4 linked regions of the Pelodiscus sinensis genome follow. The protein of the gene in region 3 purifies or fractionates together with the protein of the main gene of each other region. This does not show direct contact. Links are inferred from orthologs where the notes say so. Each region holds a gene or a part of one and is shown on either strand. Other genes may lie near its edges. The genes, in order: CIP2A, C19H19orf25, SLC30A4 and PDS5A.

The links.
Region 1: the proteins of SLC30A4 (region 3) and CIP2A purify together in Homo sapiens (affinity purification with mass spectrometry; 3 studies listed by BioGRID and IntAct, counting the BioPlex papers as one, with this or other methods). This does not show direct contact. The link is inferred for Pelodiscus sinensis from reciprocal best matches to the Homo sapiens genes SLC30A4 and CIP2A.
Region 2: the proteins of SLC30A4 (region 3) and C19H19orf25 purify together in Homo sapiens (affinity purification with mass spectrometry; 3 studies listed by BioGRID and IntAct, counting the BioPlex papers as one, with this or other methods). This does not show direct contact. The link is inferred for Pelodiscus sinensis from reciprocal best matches to the Homo sapiens genes SLC30A4 and C19orf25.
Region 4: the proteins of SLC30A4 (region 3) and PDS5A purify together in Homo sapiens (affinity purification with mass spectrometry; 3 studies listed by BioGRID and IntAct, counting the BioPlex papers as one, with this or other methods). This does not show direct contact. The link is inferred for Pelodiscus sinensis from reciprocal best matches to the Homo sapiens genes SLC30A4 and PDS5A.

Annotation. Positions count from the first base shown.
Region 1 is NC_134711.1:155,149,138-155,156,264, forward strand, and holds the start of CIP2A (protein CIP2A), read right to left. Parts: upstream 3,001-7,127; 5' UTR 2,801-3,000; coding exon 2,699-2,800; intron 2,616-2,698; exon of another isoform or gene 2,526-2,615; intron 1,212-2,525; coding exon 1,064-1,211; intron 1-1,063.
Region 2 is NC_134729.1:17,423,367-17,430,931, reverse strand, and holds the start of C19H19orf25 (UPF0449 protein C19orf25 homolog), read left to right. Parts: upstream 1-4,549; 5' UTR 4,550-4,658; intron 4,659-5,719; 5' UTR 5,720-5,746; coding exon 5,747-5,882; intron 5,883-6,373; coding exon 6,374-6,570; 3' UTR 6,571-7,565. Other genes in the region: REEP6 (receptor expression-enhancing protein 6), read left to right, coding at 140-189.
Region 3 is NC_134724.1:21,136,978-21,144,420, reverse strand, and holds the start of SLC30A4 (putative proton-coupled zinc antiporter SLC30A4), read right to left. Parts: upstream 3,017-7,443; 5' UTR 2,613-3,016; exon of another isoform or gene 2,366-2,612; intron 1,931-2,365; 5' UTR 1,814-1,930; coding exon 1,417-1,813; intron 1-1,416. UniProt on the Homo sapiens protein: Probable proton-coupled zinc ion antiporter mediating zinc import from cytoplasm potentially into the endocytic compartment. Controls zinc deposition in milk.
Region 4 is NC_134715.1:92,597,950-92,605,331, reverse strand, and holds the start of PDS5A (sister chromatid cohesion protein PDS5 homolog A), read right to left. Parts: upstream 3,014-7,382; 5' UTR 2,586-3,013; coding exon 2,559-2,585; intron 2,523-2,558; exon of another isoform or gene 2,404-2,522; intron 1,804-2,403; coding exon 1,633-1,803; intron 1-1,632. UniProt on the Homo sapiens protein: Probable regulator of sister chromatid cohesion in mitosis which may stabilize cohesin complex association with chromatin. May couple sister chromatid cohesion during mitosis to DNA replication.

The sequences.
Region 1 (7,127 bases), on a different chromosome or scaffold from region 3:
GTTTTCCCCAGTAAGATGGGAAATGGGGGACCTCAAAACTCAGTTTACTCACAAATCAAACGCACCTCAAGATAGAACTAGTCACACTATTGAGTAAACAAGCAGACTTTTATAAAGGAAATCACTGCCATTATAAACTACTCATTCTCATAACTACCTCCAACCATGACTTATCACCCTTGGATAGAGTACAAGAAACTTACAAAATAATTTAATAAGCTTAATATAGGCATTTCACCTACATTACTGCTACATTTTAGGAACCCATAAAGATCCTTTAAAAACAGATTAACTACCCCTTATCACTGCAACATACACCCAGACGTAATAAACCTAAAATGGGCAGCCCACTTCCAATACTCTGCAACTTAATTTATTTCCTGACTTTCATGGACCAGAGAGAAAAGATCACCCTTCAAGCAGATCCTGGAGATTGGCTTGAATAAGCCTGGAGCAAGTTCCAAAATGCATCCCTGTAACAAATGCCCTGCATTCTGTTTCATATCTCAGTCACTTCTGCTGACTGCAACCGGGAAGCATCTCAAAGGGAAAGCAACTATCAAAGAAAATTAATATTGCCATGTGTCATTCACCGGTTACATAAGCGAGGTTGATGTAGAGAAAGAGATACACACCATCATATGTTTTGAATGTTAAGACAACCACTGACTGTATGGATTTAGGATCAAAATTCTCCTATATGGGTATATTAGATAGCAGTCAAGCAAAAAAGCTTTTACATAGTCTTCTGAAGCATCTGGTATGGGAACTAAATCAGATGGCTTTTTTATTATTCAGTTTGGCAATTTCTGTGATCCCATAAAATGCAAGACATTAGACATTGCCAGGAATAAAATAGAAAACTAAATTCTTGGTAATTTTTCTCCAGCACGCAGTTAATTCCCCATCCCTAAAATCAATGCAATTTGCACAGATAATATAGCAGATAACTCACTTCTGCATGCAACCTGTCACTGATTCAAACTGTTTTAAGATTTATTAAAAATGTTTGAAAAATGAGCTTTAATTCTCTTAAAAGAAAAGTTAGATGTAAATAAATTACCTAGTTGTGACAACAAAGTAATCACAGACAATGTTAGACATGGACTTATATTTGGGTCCTCGATGAGCTCTATTAGACAGCTCAGACATTCGTTAGGCAGTATTTGGTTTGATGCAAACAATCTCGTTAGCTTCAATCCAGAGATAACCTAAAAGACATGTTAGAGTAACTATTAATATAGCTACAACCATATTTGTCTCATTTCAACACAAGATTGAGAAGGTAGTTATACTAGGGATGTAAGTAACTAGTCCACTATCCGGGACTCCCTAGTGGCCCTGGCCTCCACACAGCATTTCAATCTTTGAAATGGACAAGAGCCCCTCCTGGTGCTCTTGTACATTTCAAAGGCAGAACGCAGAAGTCCTTATCGACTCATCAAATAATTGATGGAAATTCCATCGACTATTCTGTTAATTAGTTGAAATTTAACATCCCTAAGTTGCACTGAACTGAAAAGATAATACTGTCAATAACTCTAGCATCACTAACAGCACACTGACATTTTTATTTGCCTTTTTCAAGCTCACTTTTGTTGAATTTTTAGAATTCTGGAAATATGTTTTTCATTACTGTAGTGTCCTTTATATTTTAAAAAAACATACATTTCTTATCTTTCCGGGGGGAGGGGGTGGAGGGAGAAGGGGAGGAGGATAGGGAGGACAGAAATTCAGGGATTTTCATGGGCCAGACTAACTCTTCTGGAGTCCCAGAACTGGTACTTTTTTGGGCCCTCCTAGGTTCTGGAGTAAAGGATTTAGTGTACAGTACTGGACTGCTGGGGAGTAGGATAGAGATGGGGGGCACAGGGTCTGGTAGGGTGTAAGAGCCGGCTGAGAAGTGGGGGGCCTGAAAGGATGAAGGAGTGGGCTGAAGGAGGGGGGAGTGCCTGGCCAGGAGGTTGGGTGCAGGAGAGGGCTGGGGGAGGGGGGGGCAGGTCTAGGCAGGTGGCAGAGTGCAAGTGTATATAAAATAGCGTTTTCCTTTACTCGGTTCCTGTGTCTAAAGGAGCAACAGAACCAATTTACTTACTACACAGGAAAAGCAACACAGTGACCATATCTGAAAAGATAAATTGACTAGAAACAGAAAAAAGCTCCCCGTCGTGCAAGTTACTTCTGTAGCGTCACGTCGGGGCCCCCAGAAGCAAGACCAACAATAAATACATCCAAGAAGTGCGATTTCCAAGGCAGCGATGTAATGAGACCAGCAGCCAAATCCAGAACGAGATGATGCTGCAGAGGGAGGGACCAAGTACCACCCCTGACAGATTTGCCCCAGGTTGCTAAACGGCCCCCTCAAGGATTGAACTCACAACCCTGGGTCTAGCAGGCCAATGCTCAAACCACTGAGCCCCCCCCTCCTCCCTCGTTGCCTCTGCAACCGCCCCTGAGTTCCAGAGCCAAAGGGCGCGGGGCGGGGGCTCGAGCTGAGTGTCGCGGGGGGGGGGGGGGGGGGATCCAGCTGCTGTAGCTTTGCCAAGCCCCGCGCCTCCCAGCATCGTTTTTTTTTAAAAGCCCCCCGGGCTCTAAGAAAACACGCGCCCGTTACGGTAGGACCCACAGTAATTCCCCCCCCCCCGTGGGGGCGGGCGAGCCTGAGCAAGGGGCGTGACGCCGCCGGCCGCGCGCTCACCTCCAGGCTGCGCTGCAGCAGCGCCGCGTGGGGCTCGCTCCTGGCGGCCCGGTACTGGGCGGCGGCCAGCAGCAGGGACTTCAAGCAGGCCGCGGCCTCCATGCCGCCCGCCCGGCGCCTCACGCGCGCAGCCGAGTCGCAATCGTATTTGGCGCCCGAGCCGCCATCTTAGCTACGAGCCCGCAGAGCCAGCGGCCCCTCCCCCGCGCGGTGCATGCCGGGAGCGGCGCGGACTGAGGCGGTCGCCATGACGCTCGGGGCGGGTGACCTGAGAGCTCGGCTCACAGGACTGGGAGGAACCAGTCTCCCCGCCGCGGGGCATGCTGGGAGCGCGGTGGCTCAGCGGGGGGCGGGGCTCTGCCTTGCTGCTGCCTGGGCGCTTTGTCGCTATTGGGCTGCGCTGGGGTCAGTGGGCGGGGCGTTTGCTGAGAGCCAATGAACCCAACTCTAGGCTCTGCCTATGGGGAAACCACTGCAAGGGGGGGGGGCAGCATCCCCCAGTTCCTGCCCTGGTGCTGGCAGTAGCAGCAATGCAGACCCCCTGCTCCAGCCAGCTGGCACGGAGGGTGCCTGGGAGCTGCAGCCCCTGCCCCAGGCTGTCCTGGAAGAGCAAGAGACCGGATGGGTGTCCTGGGGCGGGATGTTACATTTTGATTCGTCAGCTAATGGTGCAGTTGGGATGTCCACCCACTACTACCGGATTAGTCCATAAGGGCGTGAGGTGGGGCGTTCGCTATCCCCGCTGTGCCCCTGCCTTTTAAATGTAGTAAGACCTGCCCATGCAACTCTTACTATAATTAAAAGGTGGAAGCGCAGCAGTCAGGACCTGGGGTGAGCAGGGATTGCTTGGCTATGTCTACACTGGCGGGTTCTTGTGCAAGATGTTTTTGTGTAAACATATCCACTCTGCCATGTACTTTTGCGCAAGAGCATCCATGGTAGTGTGGATGCTCTCCTGCACAAGAAAGCTCTGATGGCCATTTTAGTCATAGGGCTTTCTTGCGCAAGAACCCCCTGCCGTGCATCCACACTGCCGTCTTGCATAAGGGGTCTTGTTACACTTGGTAGAAAAGAGAGTAGCTCTTGCGCAAGAATCCCTCTCTTACCATGCTTAACTTTAAATCTTGCACGAGAGCAGGCGGGCAGCATGGATGCTGTGTGGAAGAACAGCTGTTCTTGCGCAAGAACCCACCAGTGTAGACATAGCCTATATAGTAGCATGAGCTTTTGTGGGCACGTTCCACTCATCTGAAGAAGTGGGTTAAGATGCTTCTGTTACCACCCACACTCCTAACTGTCACATTGTCCCCATGCTGAGAAAGCAGGAGCTGGTGCTGGGGGGGAAGAGCTGGTTTAAAAGCCTGTTCTCCCCAACACTGGCTCCAAAGGGGTGGGAGTGGGGCACAGAGAAGGCAAAGGTATGAGTGAGGACTCAAGGGCTATGTTTACACTGGCAGCTTCTTGCGAAAGAACATCTTGCTCAAGGGTTCTTGCTCAAGGGTTGAGCAAGAACTCTTGCGCAAGAACACGTCCACACTCCCATATGCAAGATATGCTTTTGCGCAAGAGCATCCATGGCAGTGAAGACACTCTCTTGTGCAAGAAAGCTCTGATGGCTCTTTTAGCCTTAGGGCTTTTTTGCACAAGAAACCCCTGTCGTGCATCCACTCTGCCCTCTTGCACAAGAGCTCTTGTGCAAGAGGATTTACATCTGTTAGAAAAGAGCGTAGCTCTTGCACAAGAAGCCCTCTTTTACCACGCTTTACTGTAAATCTTCTTATGCAAGAGCGAGTGGATAGTGGGGACGCTCTGCAGAAGCATGGCCCTTCTTGCGTAATAACGCGCTGGATGAAATATTTCCCTTATTTCATAGAGGGATAAGGAATCTTTTGGAAAAGGCTTTATTTTCTGCAAGATCAGCGTCTAGACAGGCACTTTTTTCCGGGAAAGCTTCGTGCAGAAAAAAAGCGGCAGTCATTTTTATGCTAATGGAGCAGGGGAGATTTAAATCCCCGCTTCATTAGCAATTGCGATACGTCTAATTTACAACCCTTTTACAAAAAAGGAATGTAGTCTAGACATAGCCTCAGGGCGTGAGCTGCCTGCTATTTGGCTGCTAGTGAGTGGTCTAGCAGCAAAGTATTATGAAGCATCCCAGATTGCAGGGCAAGATGATAGCCCCCTCACTCATCGGGGTTGATCCCCAAAATGTCATAACTGGACCCGTTTAAGGCAAGGTTCAGTAGGGAAGAGAGATGAGAAGACGAGCCCTCCTGTCTGGTTCACAGGAGGGCGGGGTTCTGCTCCTTTTTCTCACTTCCTTTGAAAGCCACTTGGACTCCTGAGAGGAACGAGACAGAGTTTTCTTCTCCTTTCTGCAGCAGTTCTGATCACTTGTTCTTCATTCCAGATATAGGCAAGAAGGGCAGGCAGCCAATGAAATCAGCAAGGTTTTCCCTCAAACAGGTCTGAAGTCTGCATTGCTACCTGGCTCAGACTGTAGCAATATTATTTTGGGTCTGTGACATGGCACACTTAAAGCACTGATAATAAGAGAACATACAAACGCCCTTTATCTCTAGGTCACCTAAGGTACGACTACACTACAGAGGAAGACTGAAGTTACCACTGTCAATCTTCCAGGTTTGAATTAGCGGTCTAGTTAAGAGAGCTAATTTGAAGTGAGAGGGGCACTCTGATGCTGGTCGATGCTGGTAACTGCTTTCATGAGGAGTAAGGGAAGTCGAAGGAAGAGTGTCCTTTTTGACTTCCTGCTGTGTATACAGCGCCAAAAGCCAAGTTAAGCTACTTCAGCTATGCAATTGATGTAGCAGAACTTGCGTATCTTAATTCAACTTTGTCCTGTAATGTAGACATACTCCTAATGACCAACAATCATAACCACCCTGAAGTTGTTTAGTAGCCTGGGTGAAATAACACTATGTTAGTTCTGCTCTAGAATATAAGTGTTTATCTCAGAAAAACAATTTCACTTAATGACTGGCCCACTGGGCACTGGCTAAAAGTTGAACAGGAAATCTAACTGCCATTTTGATTCAGAAGTGGCCCTCTAAGTTAGAGTTAAAGTACATTGGGGTAAAGACACTTGTGGTTTCCTGTGCTGAAGTGGTTCTGCAGCTAGTGAAGAGTCAAGTAAAGAGAGTGTTAATTCTCTGGGACTTTCAAGCTAGAGTCCCCAGAATGAAAACTGATTTTCAACACTGTTTTTCTTATTCAGGCTTGTGTTGATTTAATATAATCATAAAAAAATGTCCCATAAAGATATCTGTAGGAAGAGCAAAGTTAATGAACTTTATTCAGATAATTGATGTTAGAATGGGGAGGAGGCTGTCGAGCTCTAATATAAAGCAATAATACCTGTATTTCTTTAAGATTTTTCCTACAACACCAAACCACTTTTTCTCCCTTGGGCAACAACTTACTTTCCCATGCAAATCAATGTTGTGGCTGTCTACTAATCTTCTTGGAGGTGAAAGGATTACTTTAAACACCTGTTTGTATCACAACACTGCAAATACCCTTCAGTTACAACAGGGGTAGGCAAGATATGGCCCGTCGGGTGGATTCGGCCTGCCAAGCCCTGTGATCTGGTCCAAGTCTATTCCTGTAGCCGGGAACAGCACCAATAAAAGTGGCTAGCTGCTCTGTGTTGCTCTCTGTGCTGTGGGGAGAGGCTTCAGCATGCTGCCCCTGCCGCCTGAAATCAGCCAATAGGAGCTAAAAGATTTTGCTGGGGAGGCAGCAAATGAATCCTCTCCCTTCCCCGCTCCCTTTCTGGCAGTGCAGAGAACCACGTGCACAGCTTAGTTAAGCACCTCCCGGCCAGAGCCTGCCTTTGGCACCCAGCCCCTTCCTCCCCTCAACTCCCTTCCAGACCCTGCACCCTCTCTATGCCCCTTCCCCAGGCCAGAATCCTTTCTTGTACCCCAGTCTGCTATCCCTAGCTCCCTTCTGCACCCAGACCCCACAGCCCCTCCACAAAAAAGTGTCACCCTTGGCCACTTACCAAAATCTTGGCGTGGCCTCCCCATCACAAATTATTGCCCACCCCGGCTTACAAAATGTGGAAGGACCAGCCCTTTAAATTTACAATGAGCCAGTAGTCAAAATTCACAATTATCTAGTATGTTACCTGAAGCAGTAAAAATGTCACACTATTTCCACAAATGGTGACCTTCAGAAGAAAAATGTATAATAAGCAGATCCCTGGTTTAATTATTTAAAGTCAACTCTTGTTAAAAAAAAAAAGAAATGTAGGCACCACAGAGTCATTTGTTTTCTGTTTTAAATGCATGCGACAAATGCAATTCTCAAAACAAATGTTAAATATAAAAACAATCAAACTGTTCTTAAATGCATCTTTGTAGAAACTTGCAGTCCTCAAAATAAGTCTTTAGCAGTACCATGA
Region 2 (7,565 bases), on a different chromosome or scaffold from region 3:
GGCGTGGTCTGTAAAATGGAGACAGTACTTCCCTTATTCGGGAAGGGGGGGCAGAGGTTAGTGGGGGACCTCTAAGGGAAAGAATGATCCCAAGGACAGGTGCCCGATGTGCTAATTGTCTTTATTTTCCTCTTTGTAGCCTCCAAAGCAGCAGTGCAGCTGGGTCAAGAATCTGACAAGACCAAGTGAGGACGGAGCTCCCAGCGGCCGGCTGTTCTGATCCCCTCCCCGCCCCAACTGCAACTTCCTAGACCAAAAGCTTGAAGTGACACCCCGCTCCTCCCGGCGATAAAGCGGCAAGCCCCCTCCCATTCGCCAGCCCTTAGCGCCAACAAGCCCCTGCCGCCCAGGGCTCTGTAAGAAGCACAGACCTCCCCAAACCAAGCTCTGCAAGGGGGCGGTCCGTGCCTAGGCTCCGTGGGAACCGCTGACTTCCAATAGACAGTGTTTGGTAGTTCCTGTTTCTCAGGGCGCCTTTCTTCTGGGGGCGGGGCTTTCGGTGTCGTTTCCCCAGCGTGTTCTAGAACACGGGGTCGAAGTCGGGGTGAGGCGGGGGAGGGGTACAATCCGCTGCTGCGGGCCCTCGGGAATTCGCTGGGCTGGAGCTCAGGTTGTCTGAGCCTTGTGATCAGGGAGTCCTGTGCAAGCAGCCCCTCTGGAATATCGCCCCCCCCACCTGGGACCTGCCCCTCTAGCCTTATGGGGGCCTGCGGGCCGGGGGGGAATTGGGATGCAGTGTGACTCCGTGGGGCTGGGGGAATGACTGCACCCCAATTAACACTGGCTATGAAGCCCCCCTCCCTCGTCCCAACACAAGAGCCTCCGCAATAAGCCACAGCCCAGAAGGGAGGCGGACGTGGGTTTCGTAGCCACGGGGTCTATGCGCTGAGTCCCAGGGGTCTTTCCATGGCTCCGGCTTGGTCCGGGTTCGCTGTGGCCGGCCCAGGCCCGGCTCTCCAGTTCCCCTGGCCCAGTCTTGAGCTGCTTCTCTCGGGTCAGCGGCCCTGCTTCCCCCTTTCGCCCCGGGGCCGGCCTGCTGGGCAAAGGAGCCAGCCGTGCGAGGGCGGGGGGTGAGCTCTGAGAGAAGGCAGGTCACGCCTGGGTTCAGCGCTCTTGAAGTGCTGACTCATGATCGTCCCGGTTGCACTTCCCTGCTAGCAGTTTCATACCTGACCAAGCTGCCCTGGCAGTTCAGAGATCCTTCTCTAACTCCCCTTCGTCACTCCCTGCCCCAGCTGCCTGGGGGCCTCTGCTCCAGTCCCCACCTGGAGGGAGGCTCCAGGCCAGGAAGGGATGTGTTGGGTCTTGCACAGGTGCCAGGAATGTGGTTGGAGACAGGAGCACCAAGCCGTGATCAGCAACAGGGTCTGGGAATCACCCGTGTCCCGACAGTCTGCTTAGGTGCTGGCTGGGCCGTGCCCTTCCAGAAGTGGACAAGGGAGGGTCTCCAGCAGGGTGTTGGCTGCTTTCCTGGCCCGTTTGCTTCCCAGGGGGGTGACCCTGGGCTTTCACTACTTTGAGATCATCCTGGAATGAGTGGGGTCCGTGTATGAAAAAACCTGATCGTCTGCCTCCTCCACTCTCCCTCTGCCCTTCAGGCGTGGAACCTGCGGCCTGCCTGCGTTGGGCTCGCGGTTCTCCATCGCGCCCGCCTCCTTCGAAAATAAAACAGGCATTGATCTGATTTGCATAATCCCAGCCGCAACAAGCTGTGCATTTTGTAGAGCGCACTCGGCCTCCGTTCGGCCTCAGGGGTGACTCCATGCCCTGCCTGCTTTTTTTATTAGCAAGGAACGGTGGTTCATTCCCCGATTTATTTGTTTCTTTGTCTCCGTTGGTTGTGTCTGAGACAGAATAAAGGGGACTCTGACCGACTCTGTTCTGTGCATGGGTTTTATTTGCATTGCTTGTTCTCTTAGTGCTTGGTGATAGTCCGGGTGAAACACAGACCTGCTGAGTGCAAGGGAAGTTCCCCCTACAGCAGCTTAGAGGAGGGGCTAAAGAATCTCAGAACACTAGAACTGGAAGGGACCTCGAGAGGTCATCGAGTCCAGTCCCCTGCCCTCAGGGCAGGACCAAGCACCATCTAGACCGTCCCTGACCGGTGTCTCTCCAACCTGCTCTTAAATCTCTCCAGAGATGGAGATTCCACAATCTCCCTAGGCAATTTATTCCAATGTTTAACCACCCTGACAGTTAGGCTGCGTCTAGACTGGCAAGTTTTTCTGCAAAAGCACTTGCTTTTGCACAAAAACTTGCCAGCTGTCTACACTGGCCGCTTGCTTTTGCGCAAAAGCACTGACGTTCTACTGTCCGAAATCAGTGCTGCTTGCGCTAATGCTTTGACGTTCCCATTCGGGCAAAAGCCTTTTCCGGAAATGTTTTTGTGCAAGAGAGCCAGTGTAGACAGCTAAAAACTGTTTTGCGCAAAAAAGCCCCGATGGTAAAAATGGCGATCGGGGCTTTCTTGCGCAAAACCGTGTCTAGATTGGCACAGATGCTTTTCCGCAAAAGGTGCTTTTGTGGAAAAGCGTCCATGCCAATCTAGACGCTCTTTTCTGCAAATGCTTTTAATGGAAGTGTTTTTCCATTAAAAGCATTTGCAGAAAATCATGCCAGTCTAGACGTAGCCTTAGGAAGTATCTCCTAATGTTCAACCTAAACCTCCCTTGCTGCAGTTTAAGTCCCTTGCTTCTTGTCCTGTCCTCAGAGGCCAAGGAGAACAATTTTTCTCCCTCCTCCTTGTAACACCCTTTTAGGTATTTGAAAGCTGCTCTCATGTCCCCTCTCAGTCTTCTCTTTTCTAAACAAAACAAGCCCAATTCTTTCAGTCTTCCCTCCCAGCTCATGTTCTCTAGACCTATAACCATTCTCTGAAGACAACAGATGCCCCCTTCTGCCATAGCATCTCCACCCTATGCAGGGGGCACTTTTGGAGTAGGCAGGAGGCTCAGAAGGGAGATTAGGCCCGGACTCAGGCACTTGAGTGCCCTTGGCTTGCTTCACGTGGACAGCAGACATCCTCTGAGGGTAACCACTTAGGAATGGTCTGAATCGGCTCCAGTGTGGATGCAACGCCCCAGCGTCCGTGAGTTACTTGCTGCTTTAGCCAGGGCTGAACTTAGCCTCTCTGCTACTCGCCTTGCAGTACAGGCCGTCCCCGGGTTACATGGATCTGACTTACATTGGATCCCTACTTACAAATGGGGTGAGGCAACCCCGCACTAGCTGCTTCCCCCCAGCAGACTAGGGAGACGCGAAACTAGTACCCCCCCCCCCCAGCAGACCAGGGAGACACGAAGCTAGTGCCCCCCCAGCAGACCAGGGAGACGCGGAGCAGCTTTTCTCAGCAGACACCTCAGCTTGAGAATAAAGGACTGAGGGAAGTGAGGTGTGGGAGAATAAAACTGAGCTCTGGAGAAATGTTTGGCTAGAGTTTTCCTTACAATATGTATCAGTTCCGACTTACATACAAATTCAACTTAAGAACAAACCTACAGTCCGTATCTTGTACGTAACCCGGGGACTGCCTGTATAGAGACCAAAGGATTTGCAACTAAGTTTGTGTATCAAGTAGGGATGTAAAATCCCATTTAATCAGTTAACGGCTTAAATGAGATCCTACAGGTGGGGGCCGGCATGGTCTGCCCACAGTGGGGTGGGCTTGGCCAGGCAGGAACAGCCCCCCAGCCCGCCCCCCGTGGGCTGCTCCGGGCCCAGCTGGGCTGCCACTGGGCAGGGAACTCCTCATGTGCAGCCCAGGCACTCCATGCGGCAGGTGGGCGGGGAGCTGCACTGACCCTGCTAGCCATAGGTGAGTTGTGGTAGCATGTTTAAGGTGCACCGCCCCCCATGCTCCTGCCAAAGTTGTAATTGTCAATGGGGTGCCCCTACATGCCTCCGCCCCTGCTGGCTCCAGTCACCTATATATGTGCTGCTGTCCCGGCTAGCGGCCCTCAGATCACATACACAGAGAACAAGGAGTCTGCTCTACAGCCTTAGCTGCCGGGGCGGAGATTCCTGCACGAGGTGCCAGAGGTCCCAGGTTTGCTTCTGTTACGGGGGGTCCCCCAGCCCATGTCAAACGTGCTGCCTCAAGGCACAAGTCCCTGCCTCCCACTCACAAGCTGCCCACGGCTTTGCAATGGGGCGCTGTGCTCACCTCCCCCGTGCAATGCACGAGCTGGGGGAGGGAGCAGGGATGGAGCAGCTGCTGGGGGAGGAGGAGCTCAGGGTGCAGGGCAGCGTTCCCTGTAAGCTGGGTGCTCACCACTCAGAAGAGTCCAATGCCCCTGGCTGATTAGCAGGGCGCCCGCAGCCGGCAGCCTGTGTGTCTCCCGGTGGTGCACATGCCTGCGTGCACAGAACAAAATTTATTCTGCACGTGGATGGGAAGGATTGGAGGGAACCCTGGTGCGGGGGGGGGGGCAGAGTGCGGGTCTGAGGGGCTGTGGCTGAGTCACCTTCTCCCTCCCCTTCCCCGCCCCTCCGCGGTGCCAGCGAGCGGAGCGCGGCCCCTTTAAGGGGGGGGGCGGAACGCCAATGACGCGGCGGGGAGGAACCGGAAGTGGGGCCTGCAGTGGTTCTGGGCCGTGGGCGGGGCTACGGTGGCCGGCTGGGAAGGGGGAAGCCGCGTCCGCAGCCAGGTGGACGTGTAGGTGGGTGGGCACGTGGGGCGCGTCCGCTGGGGGGCGGGGCGGGGCGGGGCGGCGGCTATATGGTGGGGGGGAGCAAAGGGGGCGGGGCTATATGGTGGGGGGAGCAAAGGGGGCGGGGCTATATGGCCGGGGGGGATAGCAAAGGGGGTGGGGGCTATATGGTCAGGGGGGTAGCGAAGGGGGCAGGGCTATATGGCCGGGGGGGGAGCAAAGGGGGCAGGGCTATATGGCTGGGGAGTAGCAAAGGGGGCAGGGCTATATGGTCAGGGGGGTAGCGAAGGGGGCAGGGCTATATGGTCGGGGGGGGTAGCAAAGGGGGCAGGGCTATATGGCCGGGGGGGGGGAGCAAAGGGGGCAGGGCTATATGGCCGGGGGGGGAGCGAAGGGGGCAGGGCTATATGGTCGGGGGGGGGTAGCAAAGGGGGCAGGGCTATATGGCCGGGGGGGGGGAGCAAAGGGGGCAGGGCTATATGGCCGGGGGGGGAGCAAAGGGGGCAGGGCTATATGGCTGGGGAGTAGCAAAGGGGGCAGGGCTATATGGTCAGGGGGGTAGCGAAGGGGGCAGGGCTATATGGTCGGGGGGGGGTAGCAAAGGGGGCAGGGCTATATGGTCGGGGGGGGGTAGCAAAGGGGGCAGGGCTATATGGCCGGGGGGGGGGGGAGCAAAGGGGGCAGGGCTATATGGCCGGGGGGGGGGGGGAGCAAAGGGGGCAGGGCTATATGGCCGGGGGGGGGGGGGAGCAAAGGGGGCAGGGTTATATGGTCATGGGGGGTAGGATGTGCAGTGCAGGGTAGGAACAGGGGCAGAGATCTGGCACGTGGGGCGGGTAGGAATGGGGGAGTGGATAGGCGCTACTAGAAGGAGATAGGAAGGGGTGGGGGTGTATGGTCTGAGGCGGGGGTAGAAATGGTCAGGGATCTGGCATGCGCGGGGGGGTGTCTAGCAATGGGGGTGGGGGCCAGGGATTAAGGGGTGTATAGCCAGTCGCAGGGAAGGGGTGCAGCAGCATCTCAGCGGGCAGGAACGTCACTGCCTCTGCCTCTCTTCATGCCTGCTCTAGGATGCCTGTTTCGGAGGCGGAAGAGTGATGAGCTCCAAGGGCAAGAAGCGGGTGGTTCTGCCGACCCGGCCCGAGCCACCCAGTGTGGAACAGATTCTCGAGGACCTCAGCAGCGCCCAGCCATCCGATCCCATGTTTGTCCTTCTAGCAGAGACCAACAAAGGTAGGAGAATGCATCCCAGCTCGTTACCCTGGAGTCCCGGCGAGTGCATTCAGTAGGAATTCTACCCAGCCAGCCTCTCCAGTCTTAGCTATGCATTACGACTTCTCCTTCAGTGAACATTGCATTCCTGCGCCTTGAACGGTGCTGCCACCCTGCCAGTTTGTTGGCTTGAATGCCATGAGTTGTGGAGTCCTGTTCTTGGAGGACACCTCTTAATAGCCTCAAAGCCGCACCTGTGCTTGGTGTCTGCTCCGAAATGTACATTAGGGTTTGTCTATGCTACCGGACAGCTCGATGGGCAGCAATCGATTCAGCAGGTGTCGATTTATCACATCTCGTGTAGTACATTGACTTCAGCTACTTATTCCCGTAGCTGATATTGCGTAACTTAGATCCATCCCCCCCGATAGCGTAGACCAGCCCTTAGCTTTGTGTTCAAAGACTATCCCTTGTTGTTCTCTGTCTCTTCCTCCCACGTTTCCCCTCCCCAGACTTGCCAGCCCCTGGCAGGAAGGAGGACCCTGAAGTGAAGCGAGAGTGCCTGTACCAGCAGAGTCATTCTTACGTGGAGATGACCCAGCGGCTGCAGAAAGCCTGTAGTCTGCTGAAGGAGAAATGCGAAGAGCTGAAGCAGGCGGGCGTGACTTTGGAACAGAACGTCATGGAAATTAGGGAAAAGGCTTTGTGAGGCGGTTTGGTCTTTGAGGAGACTGGGCTGGCTTTTTGTCTATGCTCCTGGAGGGCCTGCCCTCGACAATAAAAAGCCCCCCCTCCTAGTCCTGAACCAATGCTCAATGTGGCTCAGATTTTCACAGACCTCCCCAGGGTGGCGTCTTGCTTTGGAATCCAAATCCGAAGCCCAGAAAGCCACCCACCCACGTAACGCCGGCGTGTGCTTTGATTTAATGGAGGATCTGGAGCTACTGCTGGCATGACGTCCCCCATCCCCTCTGGGTTTACATATGACTTCTCCCTCTGGTACTGCCCCCACGACGATGAAATTGCGTCCTGCATCTCCGCCATGCTGCACGAGCAAGGCTTCCGGGGTTACGCCGAGCACCAGGACCAGGTGGCAGGCACCTCCGTCCTCATGACGGCCACCGAGGTCATCCAGGCGAGCAGGGTCGCTATCGTCATCCTGTCGGCCCGGTCGCTGGCGGACCCCTGGTGTCAGCGCGTCTTGGAGTGGAACCTGCACCATGTGATCGAGCAGGAGGGGACGAAGATGATCCCGGTGTACGTGGACGTCAAGAAAGAGCAGGTGCCGCTGGTGTTAAGGCATCTGAACGAACTCTGCTACAAACAAGCCTTCTTTAAGCGGAGGCTGCTGGAGAGCTTGAAAGCCCTCAGGCCTCCCGCTGGCCGAGCGAGGGCCGAGCGCGCCTCCAAAGCGACCTGTGTGAAAAGCAGGGTCAGCCGATAGCAAGTGGGGCTAAGTACAGGTGGGACCTCCCTGGTCCGGCACCCTTGCGACCTGACTGGTACCGGATGAGGGATTTTGCCAGACCAAGGGAGGTCATTTCTGGCCCCATCCCCTGTCTTGCCCCTCCCTCCCCACTGGCTTCCTCCTGCCCCATCCCAGTTGAGCCACATGCTGGCTCCCGGGCCCCACCCTTACCCAGCCCAGCTGAGCTGTATGCCAGGCTCTCCGCCCCCAGCTGAGCCCCAGATGTGCTGTGTATC
Region 3 (7,443 bases):
TGTAAAAAGTATGAAGTGTCTCCTAAATTTTACAAGTGTGGTATTCTGTCAGGGGAACAGGCTCAGTGTTCGAGCATATGACAGGTGCAGGGAGCACGTCTCTCTTACTTGCGCACACTCTGCCTTTTCATTGTAAGTGAATCTGAGTAATTATACAGATATTTAGACTTGACGGGGTATAGGGATGAAGAATAGCTGCCACGAGGCCCAGCAATTTAAAAGGACCCAGGGCTTCCAGCCGCCACCACCACTACATCAGCAACAGCAGCAGCCTGAGTCCCAGGCCCTTTAAGTTGCTGCCAGAGTCTTGGGTGGCAGGCACAGGGTAGCACTGAAGGACTGGCTGGGGAAAGATTAGTCTCCAGCCCCTCCCTTTCCACCTAAGGCCTCACCCGCTATGAGGACTTAGAACCAGCCTCTTTTCCCTCCCCTCCCCCCTGCCCCCCTGCCCAGCACCTTGCCTAGAGCCTGGCAAAGTCTGACCACTTAAAATAGTTGAACTTTAAACAAAAAGCTGGTCTTAATCTTATCTATTAAGATTACAGTTGCTGTTCCACTGTAATATAGTCATATGTGTATAGATTTACAGACTGCTGTATCGTGCTATTTCGGTTAAAATGTTATAGATCTCTTGAACATGAACTGGAAGAGATAACATGCTTTGATATCAAAAGAGCTCATCAGAGATCAATAAAAATTGAACTTGAAAAATGAGCTTATTACTGTTTTGAATGAATCTGTAACAGGAACAATTTTGGAGTGAAAAATCAGCATGTTTTTCCCAATTCCAACTATTAACGACGTCTGGAATTTTCAGTAAATCATATGATCAGAGTAATCCAAAATCATTTGTTGCTTTAAAACAACATACAATAGACACTTTCATGTTGCTTATAATGACAGCTTAGGATACAAAAATAACTAGTTCAGTGTAGATGTTAGTCCATTAGGGAGATGCAAAACAGGAAGCTGTAAATGACTGTAATCTTTACGGGATTTTTTTCCCTTTCAATGATAGAACTAAATTATATTGCTGAATGATGTATCTGGAAACTAATATAAATAATGACGTTTGAAGGCCCTAAAATCTTATATAGACACTGGTATTATGCTATTAAAGGGAAACAAACTGAAAATGTCTTCTTTGTTGATAAGATCCTCATAAACATCAACCAGGGAAGAGTTAATGTTGTCAGTGTCCCTTTAAACTCTTTCCTTATGCTAATTGCCTGCTGACTCCCTTTACCCTGAGCACTCTCTGGACTTTATGCTGAAATCTGTGGGTCTCAAACCAATACACAGTCTCCTTTAGCAAATAATTAAAAGAAAATTGTGTAATAAAACAGTGTCCTAAAAAAGCACAGAGGCATTTTTCCATTAACCCTTGAGAAAGTAAGAAAACCAAATCCAACTTACCTATGAGCTCTCCAATCATAAAGAATAGATAGAGAACTGCAGCCAGGGTCAGTCGTTTTTTCACCTTCCTCTGTTTTGATAGTTCCCTCTGTTTACTGCAATTGCTGCAAGGGTCTGTCCTGGAGGAGCTAGTCTGTGTGCTTCGCAAAGCAATATCCCGGTCCAGCAAAGAATCATCGTCGGACTGCAGACCTAGGTGAGCCCCATTGACAGGTATGTCTGGAGCTGCATCCGAAGTGTCATCAGAAACTACCACTCGCAACTTGTTAAACCGGGGACAGTCCTCCTCACCCACTTCTTCAGAAAAATCAAAGGCACTGGTGTCGTTCAAGAACAAGGGATCATCGTTCCTTCTCAGCATAGATTTGATGCTGCTCCAGACCTTGGACTGGGCCATAGTAACTGCAGCCAGGAGCTGGGTGTTGCTGCTTAGCTGCAGCCAATTCTCATGCAACTTCCCCTGGCAGGCAGAAATGCTTCATGTCACCGGCCATTCAGGACATTTCCTCCAAGCCTGAGGAAATCAGATAGTCACACGTTCAATTCATAAATCCAAGTGAAAATGCACCTGTGAGTGGGGGGTTATTCCAGGTAATCCTGTACTAACCAGCCCTCTTCCCGAACCTCTGACTCAGGCTGGACTGACCATCTCCAGGATACCAAACAGGCAGTAGAAGCACACACACAAAAAACCAGAATCGATTTTAAACAGCCCCGTTCGTGTCCCTCCCCTGGCCTACTCGCTGTGCAGCTGAACAGCGAGCACTGACTACAGTAGCAAAGGCGTGTTCGATACCGACCGAACCCAGCCCTCCTCGCACAGAGCACACGGGAACAAATGGTGACACTCTCCTGTTTAAAATTATGCTGAACAGCTGTTGCTCAGGAATCTCAGGTTTGCATTGCTGAAAAACACAGGCAGGTCCAACCTGTGGGAAGGGCTCAGTACCTTGGTAGGGCTAACAGCACCCCCGCCTCCATGCAATTCAGATCCCTCGGGTGTGGACTCGGGTCATTCTCTGAACTCCCTCGGAAGGGGCAGCACCTCGCCAGAAAAGGCTGCCCTGGTGCCGGGCAAAGCCAGCTTGGGACAAGCCACGGGAGGATCCGGGCTTTCCAACAGGAGCATGCAGCAATCCCTGAGTGAAGAGGGAGGAACCGCACCTCCCTCTGCAAAGCCAGCGTCGGGCGTTTACCCCTTTGCTCCCGGCTGCTGCATTTCTCTCTCTCTCGCTCGCTTTCAAGACAACCAGGCTTGCTACTGCTGCTGACTCGCCGGCCATACAGGGCGCATGCGCCGGCCCCCGTGTCGGGGCCGTGCGGGAGAGAGGCGCAGTAGCTCGGAAGGGGGCTGGCTGGGCGCATTGTTCGCATTCCTCGGTCGGCACTCAAAGTGGCGCGCGGTCTGCAGCCGCCTCTGCTATGCCGCTGGTCCCAGCCTAGCTTGGCACAAGCCCTGCGGGGTCTCCCGCTGGGCCTCTGCCTCGCCACGCGCCCGTGGTGAGCAGGCTGCTGGCTTGCACGCCGGGGACGGGGCGCAGAGAGAGAACCGCGTCGCATGTCCTGTTGTAGGCTACACAGTCTCCCTGCAAATCAAAGGGTTACACAGCGAACCCTGGGCTTGTGGCAAACTGGGAGTTGTAGGCAGCGGAGGCTCCTGGGGTCTGTAGTGAAGTTGTCTGAGATGGCTGCCTCTACAGAAAGTTACAGCTTTTCCAGTCAGGCCAGTGGTTAGATATATAACTATCGATCTCGGACCTACAGCCCAAATGTTTAAAGTGCTTTAACTCCTGATGCCTGCATGCAAATTGAGGGGCTGTGTCCTTGTTTAACTGCATGCTTGTACTTGGGTGGGATTGGTCCTGCCTTGGGCAGGGGGTGGACTTGATGACCTCCTGAGGTCTCTTCCAGTTCTATGCTTCTATGATCAAATGTCCCAAGTGGGCTGTGCCCATGGAAGCTCATGATACCATCTACATGTTTTGTTAGTTTATATAAAGTGCTACCAAACCATTTGTTGTTGTTTTTTTTTCTGTAACAGACTAACTCGGCTATCCCCTGAAGTTCCGATTTTCTAGAGGTCATCCCCTTTCATCGGTTAACCTGTTATCCCCTGGTTGCGTCTCAACTGGCATGATTTTGCGGAAATACTTTTAACAGAAAAGTTTTTCCGTTAAAAGTATTTCCGCAAAAGCGCGTCTAGATTGGCACGGATGCTTTTGCGTAAAAAGTGCTTTTGTGCAAAAGCATCTGTGGCCAGTCTAGACGCGATTTTGCGCAAGAAAGCCCCGATTGCCATTTTAGCCATCAGGGCTTTTTTGTGCAAAACAGTTCTTTCCTGTCTACACTGGCCCTCTTGCGCAAGTATTCTTGCGCAAGAGGGCTTTTTCCCGAGCAGGAAAGTATTTGCGCAAGATTTTGTACATTACAAAGTCAGTGCTCTTGCGCAAATTCAAGCGGCCAATGTAGACAGCTGGCAAGTTTTTGCGCAAAAGCGGCTCCTTTTGTGCAAAATCTTGCCAGTCTAGATGCACCCCTTATGTTTAGCTGATTAACCAGTTAAACTGGATTTTACATTCCTACTATGTGGATAGGAAAATGGCTATTCTGGGTAAGTATATTCATTAATATTTCACATATTTGTAATGTGGTTTGAAAGACTTTGGCTAAAAAAGGCACAAAATAAAACTAAATGTTCTGTTACTCTGTAACCAGTTCCTTCTATGCAAGCCCACTTTACCACACAATTTGCACACCAATAGGATTAACATAAGGACTATATATATATAAAGCCCATATTGTTTTTTGAGGTGTGGAATTTTAAGAAGCCCAGGAGTCTTGAGAGATTTGCACATATCAGAGTCCTCTTTGAGATGGCTAGACTGCTTAGTACTGAAGTCATGTAAAAAATGTCTTGAAAGTTGCATCTTGTTTCTGTTTTCCCCAGTACTTGTGGCAATAAAGGCAGGATTGTTTACATTCTGTTTCACATGCCTGTTCATCTGACCTGGCACAGTAATATAATCATTTTGCCACTTTGGGGAGCCCTCTGTGCACCACTTTCCTGACTCTACTTAATGAAGTAAGGGGTGTGAACTGCTTCCCTTTGAAGCTGAGAGCTTTGCCACTGATTTAGGGGGGAGAATACAGTCAGGTGCACCTAGCCTTTGCAGACCCCTACAGGATGCCTTGGAGTCCCACTTCCCCCCAGACTCCAGCAGCAAAAGTAGGTGCTTTAGCCTAGTCTAAAGAGGCCTCACAGAAGCAGGAAATTGGAGCCCATTAGACTCAGATAAAAAGTTTCAGAGGTTAGCAGATCAGTTTTTTTTCTGGGACAACAGGAGAGAAAAAAGGGGCTTATCTGTGGCCTGGAGATAGATAAAAGGAGCCTGCTAGGAAGAAACCCATGGAAGTAACAGCAGTTAATTAGACTAATCAGTACAGGGTTCCTGTGTGTAGGATTCTTAGGTTGGAACCTGGAGTAGTGGATGGGCTTGAGTTCCTCTGCCACCCCCAGGTAAATTGTCTTAATTTCCAAAGAGGGAACAGGGCTTAGTTGGGAACCCAAACAAAGGGCTGAATTTAAAAGGCCAGGTGCTGGGGCAGAAGACCCTAACACGGACAAACAGACTGTCTGTTTATGGGACTCTTAAATGTCCTAGGAGGGATTCATGGGACTTTTTGATTTGACTGGAGAGACAAATAACTGAAGAACCCACCAAGGGCAGAAGGGAATCTCCAGAGGTCCCAAGGAGTGGGAAAAAGACTGCAATATGGCACCCAGCAATAAAGAGGTGCTCAGGAAGTCAGTGTCACTCATCACATAGAAGAATTAGCTTCTAGGTATAAGGTTGGCAAAGCTATTAATTGTAATTAGAAAAGTAAACTTGAATATGTTACATACTGATATGTCAGTTGTATGGTGTTGTAAATAAAGGTGTTGTTGAAACTGTCATTTTTAATGTTGTATACAATACTCAGAAGCTGATATCTTAATTCTGGTGCAGCTATGGGCAGTAATTTTTGCAAGAGGGCCACTTAATTCATTTTGGTATGTGGTCATGGGCTGGCTCCACTCCCCAGAAGGGGCGGGGTCTGGGACAGAAGAGGCAGTGCTGGGGACTATCCTCCCCTCAGAATTGTCTGGGACCAGAGGCTTTGAAGTAAAAACACAGCAAAGGGTTTGTGGCTTCCGGCCACGTCACTACTGCATTGCCTGACAGCCATCCTGGGTTGCTGCAGCTGTTTAAAGGGCTCGCCGCTCTGGCCCCTACTGGGGTAGTACCACGACTGGGAGCCATGAGCCATTTAAATAGGATCCTGCTGCCTGAGACATCGCCTGGACATTTGGTGACCCGGGCAACAGGATAGAAAGCAGCCAGATGCTGTCCACGGGCTGGATCAAAGTGTTAGGCGGGCCAGATTCAGCCCCCGGGCCACATCTTGCCCAGCCTTGGCCTAGAGTGACCCCTGTTCGTCACAAAGAATCTCCATTTTGCCAACTGGGAAGTTTAATATTGGCTTCAATAGCATCAGGAACTGGCTCAGTGCCTACCAGTAAAAGCAGTGAGTTCTTCAAATACCATTGTAGACATAATTTTATTAACAGCCCTTAATGCATTTTTCATCTATGTCAAATGTTTTGCTGCACTTTCAATCATTCATTTTGCTATAAAGATACTTTGCATTTAAACAGTTTTTTCATTGCTGAAGAAGCAAAATAAATATGTAGTGTCAGGCTCTTACCCAGCAATTGACTCCACAAAGTGATTAATACAGGAATCTCCCTATGATAAGAAAATTCCTAGGTTCTGTTGTTCCTAGATTGGTGTATTATGACACCAGTAGAGCCACTGAAAGAAGGCTACCAGAAGTCCGCAGTCCTAGCTTGAACTTTTAACAGCCCTTTAACAATTGTGTTCCAGCCTGATCTCTGTAGGTAGGTCCTACCCTCCCTCTGTTCTCCACACAAATTACAATTTTATTTTCTCACTTATTTCACCATCCGTCTGCATCTCTTCCTGAACCTCCAGGTATTATAAGAATCCCAGATTCCCTTCTCTGAACCTCCAGATCTCTGTTCCCGAGCACCTACATATCAGTCTTGACCTACCCAAACAATTATTTGTATCATCTCTCTCCAGCCGATCTCTGTTATTTTCAGTCCTATCTAGGCATTAGGGAGCCAACTGCACAGGCACCTGTGCGCACGCACACATGGCTATTTTGCCTCCTTTTATTGGTTTTCATGACAGTCTGCATCTGTGAGTCTGATGGTGACTCCATCACGACACTGGAAATGATTTGGGCTCAGGGGAACAACTACACACCAGGGCTACGTCTAGACTGGCATGATTTTTCGGAAATGCTTTTAACGGAAAAGTTTTCTGTTAAAAGCATTTTCGGAAAAGCGCGTCTAGATTGGCAGGACGCTTTTCCGCAAAAGCACTTTTTGTGGAAAAGCGTCTGTGGCCAATCTAGACGCGCTTTTCCGCAAAAAAGCCCCGATCGCCATTTTCGCGATCGGGGCTTTTTTGCGGAAAGCATATCTCTGCTGTCTACACTGGCCCTTTTGCGCAAAAGTTTTTCGGAAAAAGACTTTTGCCCGAACGGGAGCAGCATAGTATTTCCGCAAAAGCACTGACAATCTTACATGAGATCGTCAGAGCTTTTGCGGAAATTCAAGCGGCCAGTGTAGACAGCTGGCAAGTTTTTCCGGAAAAGCAGCTGCTTTTCCAGAAAAAGTGGCCAGTCTAGACACAGCCCAGGAGACAGGACAGGGTATGTTCATCTCAATGTAAGGGACAACTAAAGAAGCTCATATTTACTGTTACCCCCTTTGACTTGAGTGGTTAGTTGAAGTTTGGGGCTCTCTGCCAGTGTTCCAGTGAAGAGTAGAAATTATGATGGAGCCTGGCATTTTCTTTGATGCAATCTTGTTTATGTATAAGGAAGGTACAAAGTCCTGTTTCTGTGAACATAGCAGGAATCCCCAAATAGCAGGAGGCAGTGCTTTTGTTTTCCTTT
Region 4 (7,382 bases), on a different chromosome or scaffold from region 3:
AGAGCCCTCAGCTTCAAGGGACACAGTCTGGTTAATTTATGCCTAAATTGTAATGATGTGTTTTTTTTAAGAACTCCACTGGAAGCAGATTTATGTTTGTTTTTAAAATATCATGCTTTCTTACAGGAGAGGGAAAGGGAGGAGAAAGACATCTTCCATCTACTACTGTCCAGAAAAATATGCCATATCTCATCAGACACAGATGTGGCCACAGTGATCTATGCATTCATGACTTCAAAGCTTGATCCTACAAATTATCTAGGAATGCACACCCTTGAAAAATATAGTCGAACATAAACACTTTACTCATGTTTTCCACACACTATGCTAGCTCACCCATTCTCTACAAATTCCAGTTCATGATCTCTGTCCTAACATTCAAAGTCCTTTGGAGATGTTAGCCAAACTCAACCTTGAGACATTTCCTCTATAATCATGACCCTCCACAATTATGTTCCACTGGAACAATAGAAAAAAAAACTTTTTATGAGCCTCATGAATGCAAGCAACAGAGCTTTCACAAGACTGGAACTAAATTATGGAACTCACGTATGCAAGAGAACTGCAGGCTTGCCACTTCCAGAATTAAAATACAAAACTTATTTCTTAAATACATTTTTAATATATACAAAAAACATTTTTTCATATCAACTATAAAACTAATCAAGTTACTACTTCTACAGAATTAAAGAATAATTTATTAGTTCTATTTTTCAATACTGTCAGACACAGTTACTACAGTGATGGGAGCCATAAAAATCAGATTAGACAAAACCCTCCTAGTACTACACAGTATACAATATATCCTAAACATGGACCCAAATCCTAGCTTAAGACTTGAATACAAAGACCACAATGCTATCAATAGAGTAACACTGATATTTCATTAATACCTGATTTTATTCTCTATTTTCAGCATACATTCAATATACCATGGCATAAAAGTTAACAAGGTAAATCTGTACGTTCTGCACTGAAAAAAATGGTTTAAAGCCATCTGTAAACCCCTGAGTCCACAAAAACAAAAACAAAAAAAGGAAGAAAAAAAAAAAACATGTTTGTGACAATCCCTCTTCCTTATGAAAAAGTAACAACTTTGTGACTTTATCTACACTATGGTCTTATCTATGCATGGAATTATTCCAGAACAGCTATTTCATTCTAAATCCACATGCTACCTTAATCTGAATTAGCTCTAAGAGTAAATAAGCCCTAAATAGCTTGAACACAAAATGCTGCAATTTTTACGCAATTTAAGCAGCAGGCTGCACAAAAATATTCCAAAGTTTAGTTGTGCAACTCTGGAAATGCAGTTCTATGTTTATAACATGTGCTTTAAATTAATGAGAAATAACTTCATAATCAATAATGGCCAGTTTTCTATAATCAACTCCCACAATGGCAGTGCCATGGACTATGGCATCTTTTTCAAAACCCTGGAACTTTCAATAACTGTTACATTTAAAAACAAATTTTTGCTTCCTGTAATCCATATACCCATTTCCACCACTCACCCCTTATGGGTAGTTTATTTCATGTCAAATTAAAATATTCTAGAACACACAAATTAGAACATTGATTATTCAACAGTTCATTTTAGATTAATAAGAGGTGAGGGGAAGAGGCACTTACCTTCAACCGTTTGACCACCTCATCGTTGGTAATTTTGTCTGTGATCTCCTTTACTCCGGGAGGATAGTAGATGATCTTACCATCGGCAGAAGGTTTTGGCTGGGTAGTAGGAAAGTCCATCCTTATGCCGCCAGTTATAAACTTTCCTTCTCCACAGTCCTCTACCGGCCTCTATCGGTCAGAAAACAAAAGTTCAGCGGAACAGAGACTACTTTCAGCCCTCTTTTTCCATTTCTAAACCTCAATTCACAGAAGGCCCCACTTAATATCAAGAGGGCAAACATCCTGCACCCCCACCCCTTGAGCAGGGCTTCGGAAGCCCCTCACTAAGCCACCTCTCATCCCAAAACTTCTACCTCTCCACCCTCCTCTGGTGTCTCCTTTCAGTGTGAGGTTCCTCCAGCCCAACATTATTAGTTTGCAGTCTCAGATTTTACAATGAAATTTTAACCCAAACCAAAGGATGCCTCGAGTTTAAAGCCCATTATAGCCTGAGCGGGGTCGGTGAGGACAAAATCCTGGTCCCAGCGGGTCTTTGAGGCCGTCACAGAAGCCTCAGAGCTGGGAGACGAGGCCTAAGCAGTTAGGCCTCAAAACTATCAGGAGGCAGAGACCAGCCGGAGGAGAGGAGGTGGCTAGGATCCCAAACAAAACCTCGCTGCCGCCGGCCGGCCCCGCGCAGCCATGCACTGAGCCCCCTACCTGACCCTTGCCCCCCCCGAGAGGAAAGCAGCCCCCCTCGAGAGGGGACCAGGCCAGTCTCCACTTTACATTTGTTCTTTCAACTTCAGGTACCCTCGGCGCCAGCCCCTCATCTCGCCCCGGAGCCCCTCACCCAACTAGCTCTGCGAAGCCTACAAAGAGCCCCCCCAGCACTGCCGCGGGGAGGGGAGGAGGAGGAAAGCGGGACCCGGAGCCGCCTTTACCTCATGCAGCTCCGGAAGGTGCAGCATTGAGTAGCCTCCGTGCCGGGTGGGTGTTGTTGCTGCTACTCCGCCACTGCCGGCCGGCCGGCGCCCTAGCTGCTCCTGCTGCCTCCTTGCTCCGCGGTGCGGCGGCAGCTGCCCAGGAGAGGTGGGGGGGAGGCTGCTCGGCGGCGGCAGGAGCGGGGGTGAGAGGGGGCGGCTCAGGCGGAGCGTGCGCCGCGCCGCGGGGACACAGTGCCGCTCTCCGTCCGGCCGGGGAAGAACAGCCCAGGAGGAGGCTCCACACTACTCTTCCCCCCCTCCCCACCCCGGGGCTTGGCCCAGCGCCGCCCAGCCGGGATCCCCCTGCCCCACCCTAGCAGCAGAACCCGCTCCCAGCTCGTCTCCCTCGCGCCTTGTGCCCTGCTCAGGCAGGGCGGCAGCGGGGTAGGCGGTACCGGGCACGGCCGCGGCAGCGCCGCCTCTCGCTTGGCGCCAAAATCAGCAGCAGCTCCGAGCCGGCTGATCCCGCCGGGCAGGGAAGGGGGGAGGCGAGTGGGCAAGCTGGGACTGGCAGCTTGAGCAGGGTCGGCCTGTCAGGGCCACAGGCACAGCCGCCCCCCAACTCTCGAGGGTAGCGACGAGATGTGGCATGGGATCCTGCCTGTGCCTCCCGCCTCGCCAGCTGGCCGGGCTGCGCTTAAACGACTCTGATAGGCGGGCGAGAATCCCTGCTCGGCCACTGCCCTCTCCAGCAAGGCTATGCTGCCTCCGGGGCCAGTTTCAAAGTAACAGGGCGGCGGGTCACTGCAGGGCGAGCTAGGAGCAAGAGGAAATCCGCGGGAATCCTGCCGGGGCGGAGCGGACCCCGAACCCTTTGCCTTTTAGCTCGGTTGTGAGCTCTGGGGCAGGACGCTCACTGTCAGCTTGGCCTGTGCGCAGGTGCTACCTCACTTGCTGGCCTGGGCCCAGCGCCTTCCCGCGATTCCAGCTCTCTCGCTCCCAAGCTTCTAGTTACTGTGCTAGTTAGTAACTTCCCCAGTATGAGTTAATCCCTTGCGTGTCACACGTTTGTTCTCCATACAAGCTGGCCCAGAAAGAAGTGCACCCTAGTGAAAGCACCTCAGCGAAAGACTCCAAATGATTTTGCTGAACAGCATTTTCCTTTTGGTCTCAACTAACTTTTGAACACTCATGTTTGCCTTCTACTTGACTTTACTTGCAGCTGTTAAGTTCTGATTGGTGCAAGGAGTTTTCCCATATTTGATCTATTTCCAGTAGCACCCATGGCTAATCAGATAAGTAGCCAGAACCTTGTCCAACTAACTTCCAAGCTTTAGACAGGCAAAGTAACAGAGATTGGGTAGGAGAAGGGAAGCAATATCTACAGTTTTAAAATATAGCATATAAGTTGTAGTCAACTTATTTGTCAAACATGACATTGTCAGCTAGAAAGTCTTAGCTCTCATCACAGATACAGGGCTTCAGGAGCAATACAGAGAGAATGAGGGCTTGTGAATGAGCTCAAGAAAAGTTATAGCTGTTTAATAGTCTTTCATCTATTGTTTCCTAGAAATTGAACACATTTTGGTTAGGTCTGTAACAATAGGATATGTCTTTGTCAAATTAAAAACTGCTAATGTGCTGAACACGTCTAAACTATTCCACTTCTCGGACTGTTCCCCTTTCATGCAAAAGTTCTTGACACTGTTGAAAACTTATTATTGAGAAGCAGTCAACCCTGCAATCTAGGGCCATGCCCATGGAATGAAGGTTTTTTTTTAATTCAGTGTCCTTACATGAGGGGATGAGACAAGCACAACCAAATGGAGGCTGGAGATTCTCTGTTTAGTACACAGCAGAGAAGCAGGTCTATGCAAGAATGGACTGCTCTGTGCTAAAGATGTGAAAAAGTAACCGTGTACTGTGGGGAGCCAACTTAAAAGCCTGGTACCTGTGAGAAGGGAACTGTTCCCCTACCTCTTCTGCACCAGAGGTGGCAGGTGCATGTAACCACTGACCTTTTCATGTTATGCAGTGAATTAATTAAGCACATTTTAAAATCTCTACTCAAGGTGTCCAACAAGAGGTCTGAACAGATATTCCCAAAGCTAGAAACAGTAACTAGACTCCACCCAGACCCATTTGGATCAGAAGCACCCAGACTGCCACTACTGGGTCTAGTTGTAACATATTGGTAACTACACAGTGAGCTACAAGACCAGGTTATAAAAACGTCATCCCAAAGAAACCAGTAGAATGTACTTCAATTGTTTTTACCCAAAGCAAACTTAAGAGGCACCATTAGAAATATACTACAGCTAATACTGCTGGACATACTATTGGAACATTTCAGTACTAGCAGTCACATTTCACTAACAATAACAGGATACAAAAATATGGTCACAATTATTTTTTTTTGAATTGATATGGACATGAATGAATTGTGGGGTTTTTTTTTAAATGTTTAGAGTTCTTAATTTCCATTCCTGCTCCTTATACATTGCTCCCCAAATTAGACGGACAAATAAGGTGCTTATCCATTTAATTATTTTTAATATATTTGAATCAAAATTATAAGTTAAAAACAAACTGGAATACCTATCTATAGATAGGAAAACAAAATATGATGTACATGTACAAAAACTGTGTGAATCATTTAGGATGGTAAGTAAATGAGGATGTAGGTCAGCATGTGCTTACACAAGAAAGTTACAATGCTCATTGGTGCACTTTTTTATACCCAACATACAAAAGAGTAATCTGGCATATTTACGGAGGCAGAGTAAAATAGTTTGGGTGTCATGGTAGGGAAGTGCAACCTTAACTCTGAATTTCTTGGGTTTCTAATGTTTGGTGTTTTTCTTTAAAAGAAAAAAGTCTCTTACTGATCTTCAGAAGCAGTTTATCACTGAACCCACTGCTATTTGTCCACAATTTCACTTTATCTTATTTGTGTGAGAGAACAATGTTGCACTCCACTTTTTTGGTATTAGATTCATTCTATGGTTATAACTTTTTCCAGTAACTCCATCTAAAGAAACCAAGAAATATTGATTTGACAGATCATGAGATAGAAGGGTAAAAAATTAGGCCCAAGTCCTTACCAATTAGTTTGGTCTAAATTAGGAGTAAACAAAATGCAGAGTATACAAGATAAGGCTAGCTGTCCGTCTCTTTTGCTGAAGAACAAGATGGAGCATTGCTTGCTGGAACATATATAGCCTCTAAAAGCATGCATATATATTGGAATATATCTGTCAGCGTACGAGTCTTTTTGTTCATGAACTCCTCCTAAATGGTAAGAGCTAAGGCCACCAAATTTAGTATACAGCTTCCTCATCTTCTAACTTAAAATAAGAACAGAGTTTGGTTGTGCCAGAACAATCGGAGCCCCGGGAAAAGGACAGTTTTCCATAAGGTGCAAAGGGAGGGGCTGCTGTTGTGAGGAACAAAGTCCATAGGGCAGGAGTCGGCAACCTATGGCTTGTGAGCCAGATATGGCTCTTCTGCAGCCCCAACTCAGCCCCTGCTCCCTTGCTCTACCTGAAGCATGGAGTCAGTGCTGATGCTACAGCCTTATGGTCCCTGCAAGACTAGAACACCAGTGTGGGGGACAGAGCGCCCAGGCTCCCCAGCAGATGCAGCATGCAGGGAACAAACAGCTAACCATGGCTTGGTGTGACACTTTTCCTTCCCCCCAGCGTGGGGGAAACCAGTAACCAAAGATGGCTCCCTGTGTACTGCTAATTTGTTCCCTTGGGACATGCTTCCTGCAGTGTTCCCTGCAACCCTTCCCGGAGGCTTTCTGCTGGCAAAAGGGAGCAGCGGGTGGCATGTTACACAGTGCTTGCCGCATGGTGCGAAAACAAGTAAGTGCCCCTCACACGCTCACTCCCAGAGCCAGCCACCTTCCCCCAGTCCAAACTCTCCTGCCCCCAGGCCAAAATCTCCTGCCCCCAGGCCAAAATCTCCCCTGCCTCCTGGCCAGACACCCACTGCCCCCTGGCCAACCAACCCGTCTCCCCACTCCTGGCCGGACACCCCCTGACTAAAATCCCCTCTGCCCCCAGGGTTGCCAGATAGTTGAAACAAAAATAACGAACACCGCCCCCCTAAGAGAAAAATCACTGGGAAAAAATTCTGTTGAAGGAAAAGAAAAGGGGGGGGATCCAAGTTGTTGAGGGGGGGGGGAAGGACTCCAAGACTTAGTAAACAAAAAACAAAACAGCATTAAAACAGCATGTCCCCTTTAAGAGTGAGTGCAGGGGAGTGGTTGAGCACTAAGACCCAGGGGAAGCATTGATTCCCCTAGGTCTTTTGGCCTGACGCCATTTTGTGCTGGCAACCCTGGGGAACCAGGTAAGCATGGGGGCTGGGAGTTTTGGGGGCCAGGGATGGTGGGGGGGAAGCAGGGGCTGAGTGTTTGTAGGGTTGCCAGGTTCCTGGCATTTTTGACTCCTGACCCGGGAAAAATTCAGAAAATATCGGACACCTGATATCTCAGGTGTCCAGTATTCTCTGAATTTTTTTTTACTGGACAGGAGGTGAAAATACCAGACTGTCCGGGTGAATACGGGACACCTGGCAACCCTATCTGCCCCTGGCCAGACAACCCGAGTTCCTTGGCCAGTCACCCTGCTCCCTGGCCAAAATCCCTCCTGGCCAGACACCCCTTGCCTCCAGTCGCCTGGCCAAAATCCCCTCTGCCCCCAGCAGACACCCCAGCCTCCTGGCCAGTCAGCCTGCCCCCTGTCCAAAATCCTCCCTGGCCAGATAGCAAGCCCCCAGTCCTCTCCTGCCCCCTAGCCTGACCTTGCACCCTCACTCCTTTCTACACCCCTT